2 linked regions of the Oryzias latipes genome follow. The protein of the gene in region 2 interacts with the protein of the main gene of each other region in a biochemical or structural test. Links are inferred from orthologs where the notes say so. Each region holds a gene or a part of one and is shown on either strand. Other genes may lie near its edges.

What was found.
Region 1: the proteins of map1lc3a (region 2) and atg7 form a complex in vitro, tested with the Homo sapiens proteins (2 studies listed by BioGRID, with this or other methods). The link is inferred for Oryzias latipes from reciprocal best matches to the Homo sapiens genes MAP1LC3A and ATG7.

What each region holds. Positions count from the first base shown.
Region 1 is NC_019863.2:9,479,904-9,490,283, forward strand, and holds the start of atg7 (ubiquitin-like modifier-activating enzyme ATG7), read right to left. Parts: upstream 5,890-10,380; 5' UTR 5,397-5,889; intron 1,053-5,396; 5' UTR 1,016-1,052; coding exon 844-1,015; intron 734-843; coding exon 679-733; intron 1-678. UniProt on the Homo sapiens protein: E1-like activating enzyme involved in the 2 ubiquitin-like systems required for cytoplasm to vacuole transport (Cvt) and autophagy.
Region 2 is NC_019863.2:5,855,197-5,865,539, reverse strand, and holds the start of map1lc3a (microtubule-associated proteins 1A/1B light chain 3A), read right to left. Parts: upstream 6,423-10,343; 5' UTR 6,289-6,422; coding exon 6,249-6,288; intron 3,015-6,248; coding exon 2,959-3,014; intron 2,774-2,958; coding exon 2,667-2,773; intron 1-2,666. UniProt on the Homo sapiens protein: Ubiquitin-like modifier involved in formation of autophagosomal vacuoles (autophagosomes). While LC3s are involved in elongation of the phagophore membrane, the GABARAP/GATE-16 subfamily is essential for a later stage in autophagosome maturation.

The sequences.
Region 1 (10,380 bases), about 3.6 Mb from region 2:
AACAACAATCAACATTTAAAATGAAAATGTTCCACTATGATTATTGTCTTTCTGCACAGACCGATGCAGTTAGCTTTCTTGTTGTACAACAGTCATTGCAATAGTCAACTCCTGCAGGTCTAAAAAGAATAAATGAACCGTTTGATTGACTTTTTGACACATTGCTGAAACTGCCGAATGAGGTTCAAAGCAGCCTTTTAAAAAAGTTGAAAATGACCCGGGAAGCCGTCATCTTCACTTCAGGAACCGTGGCCACCAAATATATCTGAATGATTATGATTAAAGGCTCATTTAAAGCTCTTAAAAGTCTTTTCAAAGAAAAAGTAATAACAGAATTCACAGCAGCCTTTCATAATAAAGTACATCTGATGCACATCAGAATTGAATATACTGAAGGGAACAACAGCGAACCCTTAGGAAATCCACACCTCGAGATAGCTTGGAAATATACTTTAGATTTAGTATTTTTATATGATTGTAATAAAAAGAAAGGACATTTTAAATGCACGTTATTCTCAAAAGCTTACGCCTAACAAAACACAGGAGGGTGTGACGGCTGGGGGCCTTTATCAAGACTGAATTATTACTATAGGCTTTAAACTGTGTTTCATGTTTTGCTTGTAAACTGTAAAACAACTACTTGCAATCATGTTTGTGTTAACAGCATGCTGCACTTACACATCAAACGCGCTGAACTCCAGAGTCAAGCGAGTGGGTAAGCCAACAGGGTCACCTGTCAAATAAAAGTGGAACATTTTACATGAATAAAGATGAAATAATTCAAAGCCGCCATTGCACCTACAAGGGTTTATTATAGTGACACCACCTGATCAAGCCACTCACCGTTATAGTAATATCCTTTGATGCATTTAGGGCTTTCATCCAATTTGTAGTCATTAAGTTTCTTTTGAGTGAGCTGATGCCAGAAGCCGGCCTCCAAAGCGCTGCTGAAGGGTGCAAACTGCAGCTTGAGATCTGCAGCGGATGGTGGCGCTCCACTGATGTCTGACGTCATGGTAACTTCAATCACTCAGCAAAAAAAGAAACAAGCTCTGAAAACACAAAGTATAACAAAAAAGTGGAAAAGTTAAGTTTTTTTTCTTTGGATGATAATTTTCTATACATTGCTCGCCATTTACAGTGGGGCAAAAAAGTATTTAGTCAGCCACCAATTGTGCAAGTTCTCCCACTTAAAAAGATGAGAGACCTGTAATTTTCATCATAGGTTTACCTCAACTATAAGAGACACAATGACAACAAAAATCCAGAAAATTCCATTATCGGATTTTTAAATAATTGATTTGTAAATTATGGTGAAACATTAAATATTTGGTCAATAACAAAAGTTCAACTCAATACTTTGTTATATAACCTTTGTTGGAAATGACAACAGTCAAACATTTTCTATAAGTCTTTACAAGGTTTTCCCAAACACAAACTTCTATTCCTCCATGCAGATCTCCTCTAGAGCAGTGATGTTTTGGGGCTGTCACTGGGAAACATGAACCTTTAACTCCCTCCAAAGATTTTCTACGGACTTGAGATCTGGAGACTGGCTAGGTCACTCCAGGACCTTGAAATGCTTTGTACAAAGCCACTCCTTCAATGCTCGGGCAGTGTGTTTGGGATCCTTGTCATGCTGAAAGACCCAGCCAGGTTTCATCTTTAATGCCTTTTAGTGGTGGAAGGAGATTTTCTCCCAAAATCTGACCATACATGGCCCCATTCCTTCTTTCCTTTACATGGATCAGTCGTCCTGATTCCTTTGCTGAAAAAAAGCCCCAAAGCATGATGTTTCCACCCCCATGCTTTACAGTAGTTAAGGTGTTCTTTAGCTGCAACTCAGCATTCTTTCTCATCCAAACACGAGTAGAGTTCTTACCAAAAATTTATTTTTGGGTTTCATCTGACCATAGGACATTCTCCCAATCCTCTTCTGGATCATCCAAATGCTCTCTAGCAAACTTTAGACGGGCCTGCACATGTACTGGGTTTAGCAGGGGGACACGTCTGGCACTGCAGGATTTGAGTCTCTGGCAGCGTAGTGTGTTACTGATGGCAGCCTTTGTCACTTTGGTCCCAGCTCTCTGCAGGTCATCCACTAGGTCCCCCCATGTGGTTCTGGGATTTCTGCTCATTGTTCTTGTGATCATTTTGACCCAATGAGTGAGTTCTTGCAGGGAACCCCAGATTGAGGGAGATCATCAGTGGTCTTGTATGTCTTCCATTTCAGAATAATTGCTCCCACAGTTGATTTATTCACACCAAACTGCTTAACTATCGCAGATTCAGTTTTCCCAGGCTGGTGCAGGTCAACCATTTTGATTTTGGTGTCCTTAGACAGCTCTTTGGTCTTGGCAATAGAGGAGTTTGTAGTGTGACTGTTTGAGGTTGTGGACAGGTGTCTTTTATATAGATAACCAGTTCAAACAGGCGCCATTAAAACAGGTAACAAGTGGAGGACAGAGGATCCTCTTACAGAAGAAGTTACAGGTCTGTGAGAACCAGAAATCCTGCTTTTTTATAGGTGACCAAATACTTACTTATTTCCACCATAATCTACAAATAAATTATTTAAAAATCAGACAATGTGATCAGATTTTCTGGGGGGGGGGGTTTTCACTTTCATTTTGTCTCTCATAGTTGAGGTTAACCTATAATGAAAAATTACAGGGCTCTCTCATCTTTTTAAATAGAAGAAAATCCACAATTGGTGTCTGATAAAATTATTTTTTCCCCACTGTATCTATTCCTACCAACTCAGTGTAGAGCTACCAAACACTTAAATACTGTTTGAAAGCAACTTGGCTTTAATAGCTTTCAGTATAAAAACTTCAATGAAAATCATCAGCCCTTAAAAAGTGAATTATCTCATCTTATTGTATTAAAGCATTAAAGCGTATGCCTCACTGACAGTCTTGTTTAGATTAAGTACAGTAAATAATTACCCTTTGAGGAGACAGAGTGATCTTGGAAGTCTGGTACATTTCAATTTACCAGCAGATCAAGAGGAGAAACATCCCAGACCTCCAGTGTTTAGCCTTGGGCCATTCATCGTTTATTTCTCAAAACATAAACAATTACACCGGCTGTCCTGGATTACCCAACACTTAAAAAAACCATTATCAAATGCAAGTTTGTAAAAAAAGAAAAGCATTATGACAACATGGATTTCATGTTTCATCCCCCAAGATGATGAAAGACTAACAGAGATGATTAACATTTAAAAAATGAACAAATATATTGCAAATAAAAGTTCAACTTTATGAAGTCCTACTTGATTTATTGAGTTTGGGGGGGGGGGGGGGGGGGACTCAACTATTTCTATTTTTTTCCCCCAACTACAGTAAGGATGTGGACATTTTCACTGAAGTTACTTTAAAGAACTTAACACTTGCATAAGCAGAGAAACGTCTTGTAAATCAGCGTTTTGATAAGAATAGTTGTATTTTTGAATACAGATTAAAGAGATTCTTCTTTTTGTTTTGTTTTTTAACATTTCAGGTTGGTGGTGTACCTTGTGAAAAAAAGTGCAACTTGGCTGAAAAATGTCTGAAAAAACAGGAGAATATATATTACAGAGTCCCTTGCAAAAGTGTTCACCCCCTTGAATATTTGTTGAATCACTCGTGGTCAATACAATTTGTCTTTCCTCAAACAAATATTTACAAGAAAAAAACCTTCAAAGTCAATGTGAAAACAGATTTCTACAAAGTAATGTAAATGAAACAAAAAAATGAATGAAATATAACAGTTTGCATAATTGTTCAACCCATTTAAATCAGTATTGAGTGCATCCACCTTTGGCTGCAATCACAGCACTGAGTCTGTGTGGATAAGTCTCAATCAGTCCTGTACATCTGCACACTGAAGTTCTGCTTCATTCATCTATGCAAAACCGCCACTCCAGAACATTTATCTTTTTCTTTTTAAACTTCTCGTGTAGCTTTTGCAGTATCATTTGGATCATTGTCTTGCTGAAAAAAAAATCTCCTCCCAAGCAGTAGTCCTCTTGCAGACCGTAAGATATTGTCCACCAAGATTTCAGTGTATTTTGCAGCACTCCCACAGTGCTGCAAAATACACACAAAATCCCCACAGCATGATGCTGCCACCACCATGCTTCACAGTGGTGATAATGTATTTTTGATGATGTGCAGTACTTGGTTTCCGCCAAACAAATCTTCTTGTCTGATGGCCAAAAACTCACTAATTGTGAGACTATTGGCACTAATTTAATAAACCTCTATTGAATTAGACCCTTAAATTTCAAAGCGGGTTGACAATTATGCAAACAATTATATTTCATTTAATATTTTTGTTTCATGTACATTACTTTGTATAAATCTTTTTGCACATTGACACTGAAGGTTTTTTTTGTAGTAAATTTTTGTGAGGAAAGAAAAATGTGTGGATATATATTTATATATATTTAAAAAAAAAAAAAAGCCCCTCTCACCCTCCGCGGGTGGTTTCTCCTCCAAGCTCGGGTCCTCTACCAGAGGCCTGGGAGCTTGAGGGTCCTGCAGTATCTTAGCTGTTCCTATCACTGCGCTTTCCTGGACTGAGAGGTCTGAGGTCTTTCCAGGTATCTGTTGTAGCCACTCCTCCAGCTTGGGGGTTACTGCCCCGAGTGCTCCAATTACCACAGGCACCACTGTCACCTTCACTTTCCAGGCTTTCTCCAGTTTTTCTCTGAGTCCCTGTTATTTCTCCAGTTTCTCATGTTCCTTCTTCCTGATGTTCCCATCGCTTGGCACTGCCACATCCACCACAACGGCTTTCCTCTGTTCTTTATCCACCACTACAATGTCTGGTTGGTTCGCCATTACTATCCTATCAGTCTGGATCTGGAAGTCCTACAGGATCTTTGCCCTCTCATTCTCTACCACCTTCGGAGGTGTTTCCCATTTTGACTTTGGGGTTTCCAGTTCATGAACTGAAGAGTTGATGAACTGGAGAGGGGCGTTTTATTTATTTTTATTTATATATATATATATATATATATATATACAAACACAGAACAAAAAAATAATTAAAAAAAAAGAAGAAATGAAAGAATCCCACTGTCTCTGCTGCCCCAGCAGATCCAATGACATTTCTCAGAACCCATCTTGCCTTATTAGATTTATTTATTTCATTTTAATGTATCTCCACCACCATTTTAAAACACAATGTACATGTAGTCAGGGGAAATAAAAGGATTAGTTAGTGTAGATTTTGGCAATTCAAAAGAAGCCCCACTGTAATCAGAAAACGGCGCTTTAACAAGTTGAACTTTTAATCACGAGGAACCTTCTGGGGAAAAAAAGACCGAAGGGAGGACGAGTAACAACAAGAACAAACACACAACACAAGTTAAACCAGACAGAAAGGAATTACTGAACGAGACTCACCCTCAACGGCTACTTCCTGGTGGAGTTGATCATGTGATCGTGGAAATTGTCAACAGAGCAAAGGATTGTGGGAAGGTAGCATACCCCCTTTTAGCTTAGCATTAATCTTTTTACGGCGCCCGCATCATAGAGTAAAACACGAAAGACCAGAACAAAAACAAAAAAGCGCAAACGATGAAACAGGAGAACACGGACAGAAACCTGTACGCGCCGTTTCTTTTCATTTCGGTTAAATAAAGGCTCTAAGGAAGCGGATCATGAATGCAAACCACACGCAGAATACTCCGTCTTTCCTCCTCCTAGGGTTAAAGATTTTAGATATATTTATTAAAAATAACACACTAAGTTTTACGGCTGCACGTCCACAGTTTCTAACTTTTAAAGCAGATATTTGATTATTTTTTTAAGTATGTATATAATTATTTTCCAAAGTGGTCGCAGGACAGTAAAGACAAAAATCATTCCATGTAGACGCGGAATGGAAGGAATCCCGCACCGGGGGAGAGGGGTGGAGTGGTTACGTGTGTGCTGCAACGTTCCTTGTTCGATCACCTTTTTTATTTGCTGAACATGGAGCAGTTGACACTTCTTTGCATTTAAATTATATCCTTTCTGATATAGGGCTGACAGTTATGGTTGACTTTTTTATTTATTTATTTTTTTACAATAAATCTATATCCTTGATATAAGAGCATGTTCAGCCTTGCCAGTAATGCAGAAAGTCAATTTAAATAGTCAGTCACAAATGTGTACTAATAAGGTACAATATTGTGCTGAAGTGAAATAATATAATTCATCTTATTTTGGAGTACTAGTGATTTACAATAACAAAGAAAAAATATATCTCTACCATGCAAAATCTTTACAAATTCAGTATTAAAACCCCTGTGGATTTGACTGGTTAACTGCCTTTAGCATTTAGGAAAAGTAGTCTGTTTAATTTAAAATACAAGTATACCTTGTCAATACTAAAAGTGAGGCAGGATACTTGAAGTTCACTTTTTATATGCTATCTCTTTATTGTAAACTTAAAAATTTCACATTTAATCTGAAGAAATCTTTAGATAGTACTTTCTACACTACATGTACATGATCCATAGAACACTTGCAATATTTATACTAAAGTATACCTAATAAAATAAACTTCAAGTGTAAGACTCTCTGACCAAATACATTTACTAGTTTTCAAGTGATCCAAAAACCCATTTTTTTGTGGTAAATGTTTTTTACATTTTACTTGTTATCAAATGAAAAAAAAATCTCGTAGTCAGCTAGTGTGCAATATGGTGCACATTTTAATGTTTACTAGTACACTAACACTGCTATATATGCATTATTGTGAGCTATGGGCATTTGTAATTTTACTTTCCTAGAAAATGATGTAAGACATTGTCAGCATGTAATTAGCTTATTACTTATCCAGATATCAAGTGCATCAAATATAGCTAATTGTTAACACATTTTTTGGTGCAAATTTTTGCATAAGTAAATGTTTACAATAAAAGAAAATAATACACTTATAGTTACTTGACTAGAATACATTTTGGACCTACTTGGGAAGCAGTTAGGAAAAGAACAACTTACCTTTGTTCCCAAGAAGGATTTTTATCTTTCAAAAGTGGACTAGTTTAAAGTAAGGTATACAAGGATCTTCAATCCTGAACTCATAGAAATAATGCATTGAATTTTACTTGTAGTGGGACATGACGAGAAATCATGGATGTTAGAAAAAATATCACTGGTGTTTTTGTGCTTTGTTAGTAAACTGGTGAGCCTAAATAGGAAGAACTAGTCTACAGTTTAAAAAAATTACTAGTTCACATCTTTTGACTGTGGTTAGTGAACTAGTTAGACTCTCTGCATTATCAACAATGATACCAATGGTCTTGGATATGGATGCAACAGTAAAACAAAATATTTTACTGTTGTAAGAAAATACCTATAAGGAATACTAATTTGTTTTTTTGTTGCAATTAAACCTCACAGATCACTATTTGCAAAATGCAGGTTACAGAGTCTGCAAAATGCAGGTTACAGAGTCTGCAAAATGCATGTTACAGAGTCTGCTTAATGCATGTTACAGAGTCTGCTTAAAGCATGTTACAGAGTCCCTGCAAGATGTTAAAACGTACATTTGCAATTGCAATCAATCCCTGAACAATTACGGAAGAAAACAGCAACCATCTACGATAAAAAATGGGTTTGAGCTCAACAACTGATTTTTTAATATGGCCTTTTCCATGCAAAATAATTTTTCATAGCTTTTAAGTGTATTATAAGGTTCCTTCCACACAAAAACAAACCCCAAAAAAGTATTTTGATCCATTCACGCATTTCTGAGTATGCCTCTAAAAACCTGTGGTCTGCGCACCAGCCCCTCCCGACCTACAAAAATTAGCAGGTTCTCACGAGCTGACATTGACCAGGGAGAACAGCCCCTTCCAGGAAGAGTCTGCACTGCCCACCCCCAAGCTAACACACCCACTCACTTTCTCCACGGAGCTAGTGGTGACCGAATAATATGCTTTTATTTTATATCCACATCCATCTTTACAAAGGTTTAGGTCTGATCGGCTGTTTTGACCCTGCTACTGAGCGTACACTGAGCGTACGACCTGAATGTCTCAGACAATGGAAAGCAGAGGATGCAGTGCTGGAGGACATATCCTCATGGGAAAAACCCCTGCATGGGATGTACCACTGAACCATAACTAAAGTGACTGATATCAAGAAGTCCTACCAATGGCTAAAAAGGGCTGGCCTACAGGACAGCACTGAAGCACTCATCCTGGCAGCTCAGGAACAAGCCCTGAGCACCAGAGCAATAGAGGGTCAGATCTACCACACCAGACAAGACCCAAGGTGTGGGCTGTGAAAAGAGGCGCCTGAAACAATCCAGCACATAACTGCAGGATGTAAGATGCTGGCAGGGAAAGCATTCATGGATAACCACAACCAAGTGGCTGGAATAATATACAGGAACATGTGTGCAGAATATGAACTGGAAACCCCAAAGTCAAAATGGGAAACACCTCCGAAGGTGGTAGAGAATGAGAGGGCAAAGATCCTGTGGGACTTCCAGATCCAGACTGATAGGATAGCAATGGCGAACCAACCAGAAATTGTAATGGTGGATAAAGAACAGAGGAAAGCCATTGTGGTGGATATGGCAGTGCCAAGCGATGGGAACATCAGGAAGAAGGAACATGTGAAACTGGAGAAATACCAGGGACTCAGAGAAAAACTGGAGAAAACATGGAAAGTGAAGGTGACAGTGGTGCCTGTGGTAATTGGAGCACTCGGGGCAGTAACCCCCAAGTGATCGGATCAACGGTCGGATTAGAATTTAATTGTGTACATGGGCCCAGAAAAACCTTTTCCAATTATCACAAACGTTCACATGGGTCACATTTTCGGTTGGTATAAATCATTCGCACATACTCAGTAGTGTTTGAAATACCGGAAGAGAAAATGAGTTACGCTGAGAGGCTACATACATAGATATCCGGCAGCTCCACAATATACTAGATGATCTTCTAAACGTGCTTTTATCAATGTTACGGTTATTATGAAGCGCCTGTTTGCTCATCATTTTCTTTTTAACCCGTGTGTTCTGTGCTTTTTCTGTTGAAGAACGGAGCTGGAAGAAGGGCTAACAACATTAGCCTTTGATGAATATAAAATCCATGCGGGAAGCGCTGCAATCTGCATCTTGGCTGCACGTAAATATGTGGGAATAACATCAGCCTTTATTTTGTCGGGACACGACTGGAAACACAAATCCAGATGATTGTTTGAACAGTTTCTAAGGACTCAGCGACATTTCTGCTTTGAAAAGCTCACACACCGCCCCAAAGCAGCTGTGTGAGCTGACGGTCCGAGCTCTTCCCGGACACACACATTTACCGGGAGACCCGGTTCTCCTGAGTTCGGTGGCTCGTTCACCTAGAGCTGCGGGACGGATCGCAGTCCGAAGTCTCCCACCCATAGCGCACATGTAACAAAGCATCCTCCCTTTCCCTCAAACACAAAGTTGTAAGTCGGTCTGCTCTACTCAGAGACACGCGTGCTCGTTCCACCGGTCCACTTGCCTAATCAAGTACAGGACTACTTCTTTTCTATTTTGTTGTTTATTTATTTATTTATTTATTTATTTATTTATTTATTTATTTATTTATTTATTTATTTATTTATTTATTGTTAAAGCCACTTCCCTCAGTTTATACTGGATCATCGCGGATTAGTCATTAGTTGGGAAATAAAATAAATGAAGTAGTAAAGTAAAATAATGAACAATAATTATAAAATAACGCAAAATTAAAAACACCACCCCGACGATATCATCGTCCATCCCGACGGTTTACTGCAAACATCGTCAACTGCCAATTTAAGGGACATCGCCCAACCCTATGTATAACACATATTGTTTATTATAAAAGCCTTCAGAATTGCATGCAAGAGGCCCTGTAAGATAACAAATTATGGCACGTTTTCTCGTGAAAACGAATGATTAAGTAATGATCTCTAAAAAACACACTTTTTTAGAGACCAGTAAAAAAAACAACAGCACGCTCCAGGTGTGAGCCAAAATGGCAAACATATGATCATCACCATTTAACTTTCTTATTGTTGCAAAACATTATCAGAGTATTTCAGCCTGGGACTAACTTAAATTGTGCTACATTTGTTGGTCAGAAACAAATTCTAATACTAGCTATCATCAATTGAGAAGATAATCAACATTAAATGATCTCCAAGGAAATTCTTTTTTTTTTTCTTATTTGAGATAAGTCTATTTAAGCCTTGATCTCGAGATGAGCTTAATCTGTTGCATTATCTTAAGGAAAACAGTGAGCATTTCCCAATAATGAGTTTTAGGTTGTTATCTTGAGAAAACAACCAAACAAACATAAACACATTTTAGCACTTATGGTCATAGTCATCTTCCATAAAACTTTATTTCAAAAGGTATATTTTTGATTTA
Region 2 (10,343 bases):
AATGGCTGTGTTTTTATTGACTAGGAAATTGCAGAAATTGGATTTGTGATAAATTTGTCTAATGGAAACAGGACAATTTAATAAAAAACTCACATTTTTTGGAAAAAGATTTTGCGCTCGGAGGAGGCGGTTTTTGAGGCAGATTGAAATTGAGATATTTTGCAAAACTGTAATGGAAACTTTTTTCCGAATTACTTGACCCACAACCGGATGGCAATGCGCCTCTTGGTGGGTAGTGGCGGCCTTGGACACTGCACAGCGGGCGCCACAAGAGGTCCCACAGCGTCACACAGCTCATCAAAAGTTGAGCGCGTCATGTGGAGTTTTTGGATCCACATCTCTAAAATCACCACCCACCATTTCCAAAAATGGCTTCATTTGTAGCCGCTCCTACGTTTAAGGAGCTCGCCGCTCCAAAGTCTGAATAAGACGCCAACGTCTCCTTTGATAGAGATGATGATGAGCGCTAGTGCCGTGGCAGAAATCTGAACGTATCTGCTGTAAATCAAAGCATTGTTCACATTCATCACCACATTTTTGAATAACTTATCGTGAGTTGGTTTGTAATTTTTCACGTAATCAGAGTTTAATAGAAACAGTGTAATTGCCAATTTTTTTCTTCTAGAATTTCAATAAAGTTTTGTGCATATGTGTCATGGAAACTTGGCTACAGATTGGTTGGTCTGCTGTTTTATCTCCAGTTACCTGGAGATTCAGGTGAGCAAATGCTGTGCATCATGGTTAATATGAAGTGATATTTATGCCACCACATTGCAAACAAAACGTTCTAAGTTGCAAAAAAAATATGAAATATTTGTTTTCAAAAAATAATTTTGAATTTACAGCACAAATGTTTTCACATGCGTTGTCTCATCTCGCTTTTTTCCTTATGACTTTGCTCTCATAAGTTTCAGTTTAGCGTGACAAAGCTGCCATCAAACAGCCTGCTGATTGGTCTAGATTCTAACTAATCAGGTGTCTCTGTCTTGTATTAAGTGCTTGGAGGAAGACGTGGACTTTGTATCGGTTCTGTTCGAAGGGGTTTCTGCCGTTTTCAACAATTCTGGCGCGTTTCTCTCAGAAGGAGCAGCAAAGCCACAAAAATGAAATAAAAACAGGGTTTAGCATTTCTTTCTTTTAGTGTAGCGACCATTTTGTTTAAAACCCCGTGGCAGAATAAAACGTCTGAACTCCAACTCCATGTCTTATTTTTATCAATTGATGTTGAAATATGAAGAGAAAGTAGCTTTTTTTATGAAAATTCTTTTCTTACAAAAGCAGTTTTTAAAAATAAGAAACTGAAAGATTTAACATAAAATGAACACAACACACATGCCTGTTGATTTAGCGTAATGTCAGCAGATAAACTTTACAGGTTATTTTACAGTTTCAGGAGATCCTCAGCCATAAATTCACAAATCTGAAAACAAATAAGATAATCAATGCTGTAAATCAGTGGTCCCCAACCACCGGGCCGTGGACCGGTACCGGGCCGCGGGAAATTTTGGCACCGGGACGCACAGAAAGAAAAAATAATTTCCATTTTATTGTTTTTTTTCGCAAAAACGTTTTATTTTGAAAATTGACTGGATTTTCTCTGTTACATCCGTCACATTTCACGCACGTCAAAGTCGCGACACCAAACATCACATGATACACCCCGCTAAAATTAAACCCAAACAACCAAAATGAGCAAAAAACAAACTTCTTTAGAAAGTTGCTTTGACAAGGGGAAACGGTCCAATGAAGAGACAGAAGAGGAACCTGCACCCGCTAAAAAAGGTAAATCTGCCTTTAACAGGCAGCGGTAAACGTGCCTTGCGTTGCACCTCTACTAGCTTGGTTTCATTTATCAAATCATGTTCTGGTTTTTGTACTTTAAGTGAGTAGGTCTGCACGATACATCGCAAATTTATCGTTATCGCAATACCCAGCTCTGCGATATCCATATCATTAATTGGCAAAAATCTGCAAAAATCACAATAAATTGTAAACCTTAAATGTGTTAAAACAATCTTATGGCAGCTTGAGGCATTTAAAGAATCAATTAAATCCCTTTATGCATTTGACCAATCGGATGTACGCCTTCATATTGTTGACCAATCAGGTGGAGGCCTATTCTGTTAGCTGTTTGTCACCTATGTTGACGAGGGTCATATAATTTTAAAACTGTTGGAATGAAATGGGAATGATGTTTTTGGTTATTTTGCCATTTGATTATGTACCGCAAATTATATCATTATCGCAATATTAATCTCTCATATCGCAAGTTTTCCTCATATCACGCAGCCCTATTAGTGAGTAAATCTCAATGAACCTCTTAGTGTATTACTCGCCGTTGCAGGTTAGAATGACACCCAATCATGGACTGATGTGTAGCACAGCACTGTTGGGTTTACTTCATGACTGAAACCAAGCTAGAAAGAATCCATATTAAAACGATAACTTTCAGTTTGATACTGTAAATATACACAAGCCAGGGATGGTGTACCGCAGGGCCCTGTGCTTTGTCTCATGCTTTTTCAGTTTTTGTACATTTGTTCGCTTCTCTGGTCCAGCTCTCCTGCTCTGTTCCCTTTTTTATGCTACGTTTCTGCAGTGGCAGACTAAACAAGCCTCTCTGTCATCCAAAGTTGAAGTTTAATGAAAGCAAACGAGGGACCAACCTGATTATTTTTACCAGCTCACTCATGTTGACATGGTCAGGTACCAGGAACTTGGTCTTGTCCAGAATGGGCAGCTGTTTCTCCCCCTTATACCGTTCAATGATCACCTGCAGACAAAGATAAGTTTGTCTGTCTTTTCTATATGTTGGGTACCCCCCTCCCCCACCAAACATGGAAACATAGGAGTTCTGCCACATGCTTTCCTAATGCATTAGCATGCTCAGAGAAATGTCCACATGGTAAAAGCTGGTCTTCAATGCATGCAGTGATGATCAAGTTAAAGGCAGCTTACAGGGATCTTGTTTGGGTGCTGCTCCCGGATCTGCTGCACCTCTTTGCACCGGTCAGCTGTGGGGAAACCAGACCCAGAAAAACATTGAAAGGTTCTGTATGTTAACTGCCTGAGTGTTCTGCAGTGCTAATGTGAAGGCTGTAATGGAGCAACTGGGCATCTTCTAAAACCACATGAAATTTGTTCTTGTCCTGTGCAGAAGGCGAGAAAACAAATCAGAGCTGAAGGCTTCTTGTATTGGACAGATGTTACTGTAACAATAGGAGGTTAGGAATCTTCTAACACACAAGGTGTATATTTGTATAAACTTATTTTGTATATGAAGCTAAACTTTACATTAAATATTTTTGCATACATCTCCTGCTGGACTGGATGGAAAAAAAGGAGAGAAAGAGGAAGAGGGATGTTAGAGATGGGGGACATGGGTACAAAAGAAAGGGGGGAAAATGGGGTTCAAGTAGTTGGAGGATGATAAAGACGTATGGGAGGGGGTAGAATCACAAAGCAACAAAAGTAAAAAAGGTTGAAGTGGAGGGCTGAGCTTTCCAGGAAAAATGGAAAGAGTTTTATTTGTTCATGGAGCTGAAACCTGAAAACCTGCATGCTTGGTATGCCATCAAAAGGTTGCAGTGCTCAACGAATATAACATTCAGCACCATTATGAGACTCAACATAAAAAAAGTTTCACTATTTGCAGTTAAGAAAAGAGAAGATTTACCAACTATTAGCTAGACTGAAAAAACAACCGTCTGCATTAACTGCAGCCGTGACGTCAGTGATAGAGCAGTGATAGACACCTTATTGCAGACAAGTTGGAGCAAACATCCAATCCATTTTTGGATTGTGAACTTATGGAAAATATGAAGGATGCAGAAGTGTTGTACCCCAAAAAGCAGTCTACCTTTGCCAACATGAGTCTGTCAAGGATTACGATTACACAACATCTCCGAGGAGACTTGGACGGCCAAATGAAGGAATCTAGTCATTTATTGTATTTTCAGTCACTGTTGATGAAAGCACCGACATCACAGATGAATAAAGTTGTGCATATTTATTAGAGGTGTTGAGCAGACCATCACAGCAGAGTTTCTTGAGTTGATGGACAAAACAACAGCTGATGACATAGTCAGCTCTCTAGTTACTGTGCTGGACAATGTTGGAGTGAACTGGTCACATGATGTCAGTCTGGTCACTGATGGCGCCCCATCAAAGCTCAGGAAGAAGGCAGGTGTTGCCACAAAATTCTGGCAGCAAACCAGGAAAAGACTCTTGGAAATTTCATTGTGTTTTGCACACTTGAATGACAGTAAATGTGTTGCTGCACAGGATTTAAATCCTGATATTGATGGATGGTTTCAGGAGAGAAAGGGAGGTTAACTCCAAATTGCTCACATATGTTTGCAAGTATGATTTAGTCTAATTTTTCCTTTATTTACACATTTAAATCTTAGGCAAGGTGTTTCTTTTTTTTCCGTAGCCCCTCTTGAGTTTATTATCAGGATTGCTTCAGTCTGTATAAAATTGAATCGACCATGTTTTTTTTAAGTGAAATGCATTTTGTTTTAGATCCCTTGGCCTCTGTCAATGAATCTGTAATAATAAGGGATTTGCCTCCTATGGTTAAGGCATTTTTTCCAACTAAGAAAAAAAACCACAAAGCTGTTATTTTGCCTTTATGTTACTGGTCTGGCCCACATGAGATCAGACGGCCCCCAAACCAAAATGAATTTGACACCTTGTTCCCTCTGTCCTTGTCTTTTGTATTCCTGGAGTTTTTCATTTATCATAGACATTGAGTACATGTGGATTAATTAGCTAGTGTTTCCTGGTGTCATTTAGAATGCTGCATTTCTTGTTTTTGAACCCCGGCAGAAATCAAACCTCACTTAAGGGTTCCTTTCCTGCTGCTGCAGTTTCACTTGTTCACATTAAAGATGGAGGCCAGAGGCTGAGTGCTGTCTGTGTGTGTTGTTAAAGAACGACAGAGTGCTGGAATGATGAGAGCAGCTTCTTCCATTACAATGACACGAGCACAAAAATGATTCCTAGAAAACAAATGTTTCAACCTTAACAAGTAACATGGATCTGGTTCTGCAGGGGGTTCTGCTCTTTCATTGAGATGGAGGTGTCCTCTAATGTTGTTATTGCTCAGTAGCTACAGCTGACTGTGGTTGCCAATTTGACTAAATTTGGATTTTGGTTCATGTTAGGCGATCCAATTGGATCTGATCCACTGACTTAAAGTGGATCCAGGACACCTTTAGCCAAAACGTCCACCAGTGTGACTCAGAGAGAAATACCTGCAGGTTCTGAACAGTGTAGGGGAAGTTTTCCAGATTCCTTGTGTTTCTTCAAGATAATCAAGTGTAAATTAAATATGTGTACAAACAAACAAGTAAACAAGAATGGATGTCCAATCTATTCACATTTTAGTTTCCTAAAGTTCAGTCCACTGTTGTTTTTCCACATCAAAATGATCCAAAGGGAACATTTTAAAAACATTCTACCACACTGTATGGTGACATGACTTTGTCTATATATGTTTATATTCAAAGTATTTTCTACACATAGGACTGTAATGATGGACTCATCAGTTTTTGCTGATGACATCACATGTATGTTGTGTTGTCTGCTGTGATGCACTTGGTCACTTTAAACCTTATAGTCAAATAAATCTACTGTACTTCAATCCAAATGGTAACGATATCAATTTATCTCATTTTGAATGTTTTCTATTTAAACATCTTGAGAATTGATCTTTTAATAATCCTCTACAGCAGGAACACGTGATAAGCAGCTTCTTGGTTGAAATGGCTGCCCCCGTTGGGCCTCAGCTAAAGTAATCTATTACTTTTAGATCGTTTCCTTGTTAGAGTACAGTAGTCCTGAGGTGGTCAGTGACCTTCTGCTGCCCCCCCACCACAGTACCGTTCCCCTGACCCCCAACAGAGAAGCACCGCCTGAACCTCCACGACCTGCGAGACCTCTGGAAGAACAGAAGGAGCTTCCGGTGTCACATGGCAGCATCCACGGTAAACGGGTCAAGCACTGACGGAACCGAGGTCCGGCTCGCAGTTTTTAATCTGCTATCGGAGGTCTGGCAGAACGGGAACAGGCCCAGAGTGACAAGAACCCAGCTGACCCACGAAAACCTGCAGAGGTCTCGCGCCGGTCCTGCCGACAGCGACGGAACCGGGCCGGCCATCCGCGGACACGGCGGCCCTGGCCTGCCCTGAGAAAGTCCGGTGGCGGACGGGCTGGCGGGGCCCACAGCGGCCGGTTCTTCTTACCGAAAGTCCTCCGCTGCTTGAAAGGCCTGTCGGACGGCATCTTTGTCGCCGTGGTGTCAGGTCCAGCCCGGTTAAGTCAGACGCTGCAAATCGGTTCGGCGCTCTTCTCTACAGGTCTTCTCAGCGGCGGCTCCGTCCGGGCAAACAAAGCCTCTGAACACAGACGGTGACGTCAGCAGCTACGTTTAAAGGGGACGTCCCCCATTTGCTCGGAACCAAACTGGTCCAGGTGTTGGAACCACTTCACTCCTTCATTCCATCAGCCAGACTTTGGGCTTCCTAACTGGACTGAGAAGCTGCCGTTCTCACCCGAACCAAACAGAAAACCCGATCTGCATGGAGCAAAAACGCTATAGGGGCAGGTCCCTCTGCGGTCCCTCTGCGGTCCCTCTGGGGGCCCTCTGGGGCCCCTCTGGGGCCCTCTGACCATCACAAGACTCCAAATGAAGATTCCAGGCTCAGACATCAAATGCTGGATTGCTGTCTCTTCTCCACAGATCATTTCTGTTTTGGAACAGTAGAATCTCTAGCTCACCCTGGAAAAAATGTGGATATTACATTATAAATATTTTTAAACTACTTAGATAAGATGCATTTCTTTTAAATGTTTATAGCACTATCCACTGCACATGGTGGCACAGTGGTCAGCACTCTTGCCTGACAGCAAGAAGGCCCCTGGTTCAAGTCCTGAAACAGAACATCAATGGGGACGTCTCTGCGTGGAGTTTGCATGTGTACCACTATGGAAGTGTTTCTGTAGCATAATTAAAAATAAAAGTCAATACCAGAAAAGCTTTTTCATTTTGAAAATGCAGCTGCATTTGTTGACTCAAAATTAAAATAAGCAATCCTCCAAAATGTTCTTTCTTTTCTTTTTTGCCCCGCCTCCCTCCTGCAAATGCTAACTAGAATTGAATTGGTCAGTTCAAGAGGGGCCCAAGTCCACAATTTTTCAAAATAGAGATTTTATTTTTTCTATGGTCTTCAAGGGAAAAGCTATCTGATTATGTGCAAAAAAAAGTCCCAAGTCCGTTGTTATGTATTGACTATGCTTGACATTTAAAATGCATTAAGTGCATTTTCCTGGACTTGGGCCTCTCTTGGATGGGTTTAGCTTTATCCCATAGATGGCAGCACTAGTTATCCAATATGGCAGCACCCCTGTTTAATTCAAGAAGGGTCCAAGTCCAGAGACTTTAGTTTGCTAGTCCTCTAAAATGATAAAAGTGAGGTGCTTCATATTATAGCATTTGTAAGCTATGAACTTGTGCTAAATCTGGGTAAAGTATTCATCATTTGGTGTAGCCTCCCTATAAGCTATGCAATTAAAATCATTTCCTGGAAAAACAAACCTCTTGGACTTGGGCCCCTTTTGAACTAACGGATTCAATTTAATATTGCGACACTTTTCGCACGGTGGATGTGAAAACGAAAATGCAATCCTCTCCTTGCATTTTTGCTTTAATTATGTCACAGATGTTAAAGTAGAAATGAAAAAGCATTTTGAAAGATTGATGTTTCATTTTAATTTTGAGTTATTTGATGCAGTTACATTGTGAAAATGAAAAAGCATTTCTGTTAGTCCATTTTAATTGTCAAATTAGACATTTCTAAATGAATTTTGCATCACATTTACCAGAGAACATTTTGTAAAGGAAATGTCAAAAACCGTTTCATTATCATTTTAATTAAGTGACAGAATGAGTTGTGTTGAAAAAGAAAAAGCGGTTTGGCAGATTGTGTTTTCATTTTAATTTGAGTCAACAAATACAGCTTCATTTTTAAAATGAAAAAGCATTTCTGGTTTTGAATTTTTTTTTAATCTTGCTACAGAAAAAACATGCTTCATAGGTTCATTGGGAACTCTAAATTGTCCATAGGTGTGAATGTGTGTGTGCATGTGTGTGTGATTGTGGCCCTGTGACAGACTGACAACCTGTCCAGGATGTCCCCTCCTTTGCCCGCAATTGGCCCGGATAGGCTCCAGCAGCCCGGTGAACCTGAAAGGATAAAATTAGAAGATTCGAATATGAATCAATGAATGAATGGTTATATAAATATTATCCACTAAATGTTTTTTTATCTCCCACAGATTTCAAAAGGATATCAATTTGAAATAGTCTTCTGGAAACCGTTACACATTCATTTAAATTCAAATTCAAATTAATTTTATTTATATAGCATCTTTCAAAGACAGCTCAAGGTGCTGTACATAAAAACAAAATCAAATGCAATAAAATATAATAAGATACGTTAAATTAGCCCCACACAATAAAATACACAAAGACAAATATCAGTGGAAAATAAATAAATAAATAAATAAATAAATAAATAAAGATAAACCAGAGAAACCAGAAGGCGCCGTCTGCCCTGTCCTCCTATTGGCAGGGGTGTCAGTATAAAACACAAACACCCCAGCCAAGGGTGAGAAAACACTCGTAAACAGTCTAATAAAATAAATGTGTTAAAATATCATAAAAAAAGTATACAAGTAAAATTCTAGATTAAACAGATATGTATATGATAAAATGTCATAAAATACAAGAATAAAAATTCTAGATTAAGCAAATAAAATGATAAAATTATGTGATAAAACATCATAAAACATAAAAAGATTGAAGAATATGATAAAATATCATAATTTAAGATCTGTTCATGTACCACAACATTTTGGACTGGTGTACTAAACTTGCTGGAAAAATATATTCTTCATTATGTTATTTTGTTTTGTTTTTCTTTGTTATAGGCATATTATCTTAGGTTGTTGTGTTTTTTTAATTGAAAACAAGAAGGCCTATTTACTCAATTTAATTTTTCTTCTAGCCAAATTCCATAAATGTAAATATACCTCCATGAAACCATCTTTACTTCTTTTCATTTGTGAAAACAAAAAAACTACAGTGACTTCTCAAAAATTCTACAAATTTAAAAGCTATTAAAACTTGAAATTTATTTAAAAATGTCATCTTAATAACTGGTGACACACTGAACGCTCTTCCATTTGGCGAAAGAAAGGCATTCTGTCTCTCCTCTGGACATGTCCCAGCCATCTCAGTCTGGCCTCTCTGACTTTATCTCCAAAGCCTCTAACATGTGCTGTCGCTCTGATGCACTCATTCCTGATCCTATCCAGGTCACTTCCAAAGAGAACCTCAGCATCTTCATATCTGCTGCCTCCAGCTCTGCTTCATGTATTTTCCTCATTGCCAGTGTCTCTAAGCCCACAACATGACTACTCTCACCAGTTTTCTACACCTTTACTTTCATTTTAGTTGAAACTCTTCACATCACACCTGAGACGTTTCTCCACCCATTCCAACCCACCTACACTCGCTTCTCCACTTCTTTTCCACATCTCCATTCCTCTGGACTGTTGACTCTAGATACTTCAAATCCTCCACCTTCTTTATCTCTTTTCCCTGTAACTTCACTCTTCCACTTGGGTTCCTCTCATTCACACACATGTGCTCCATCTTCCTGCAGATAACCTTCATTCCTCTCCTTTCCAGGGCAAACCTCCACCTCTCTAGCTTCTCCTCCACCTGTTCCCTGCTCGCGATCTTGGGTCTAAAGATGCATGGGCAAACTAAAAACTCAAGGGGGAGCTCTGGTTTTAAAAGTGAGGGCATTTTTTGTTACGTTTACTGACCCAGTGTAAAGTGGGAAATTAAAACGTTACAGAAGAAATGATGTGAAGATAGTTTCAAAAAAGGCAGTTGAACGAGTCAGAAGTCATGATTTAAATAGATCTATAGCAGGCGTGTCAAACTCATTTTCACTGAGGGCCACATCAGCATAGTGGTTGTCCTCAAAGGGCCAGATGTGACTTATTCATGTAACTAAATGTAATGAAAAATAAATGTAACTACTCCTTAATGTTAAATAACTCATTATTTATTTATTATAACTTTTTAAAGTGACAATTACAGTTGCATAAAAACGTATGTTTGCTTGTTACTCTACCATAAATCTTTTTACATTTGATTCTGTCAGGTTAGTTTATATGGACAGTGTTTAAGTCCTAATGTATAGTTGCCCATTCCGATATTTTAAGTCAGATTTCCCCTAGATATGACTAAATACACAACAATTTTT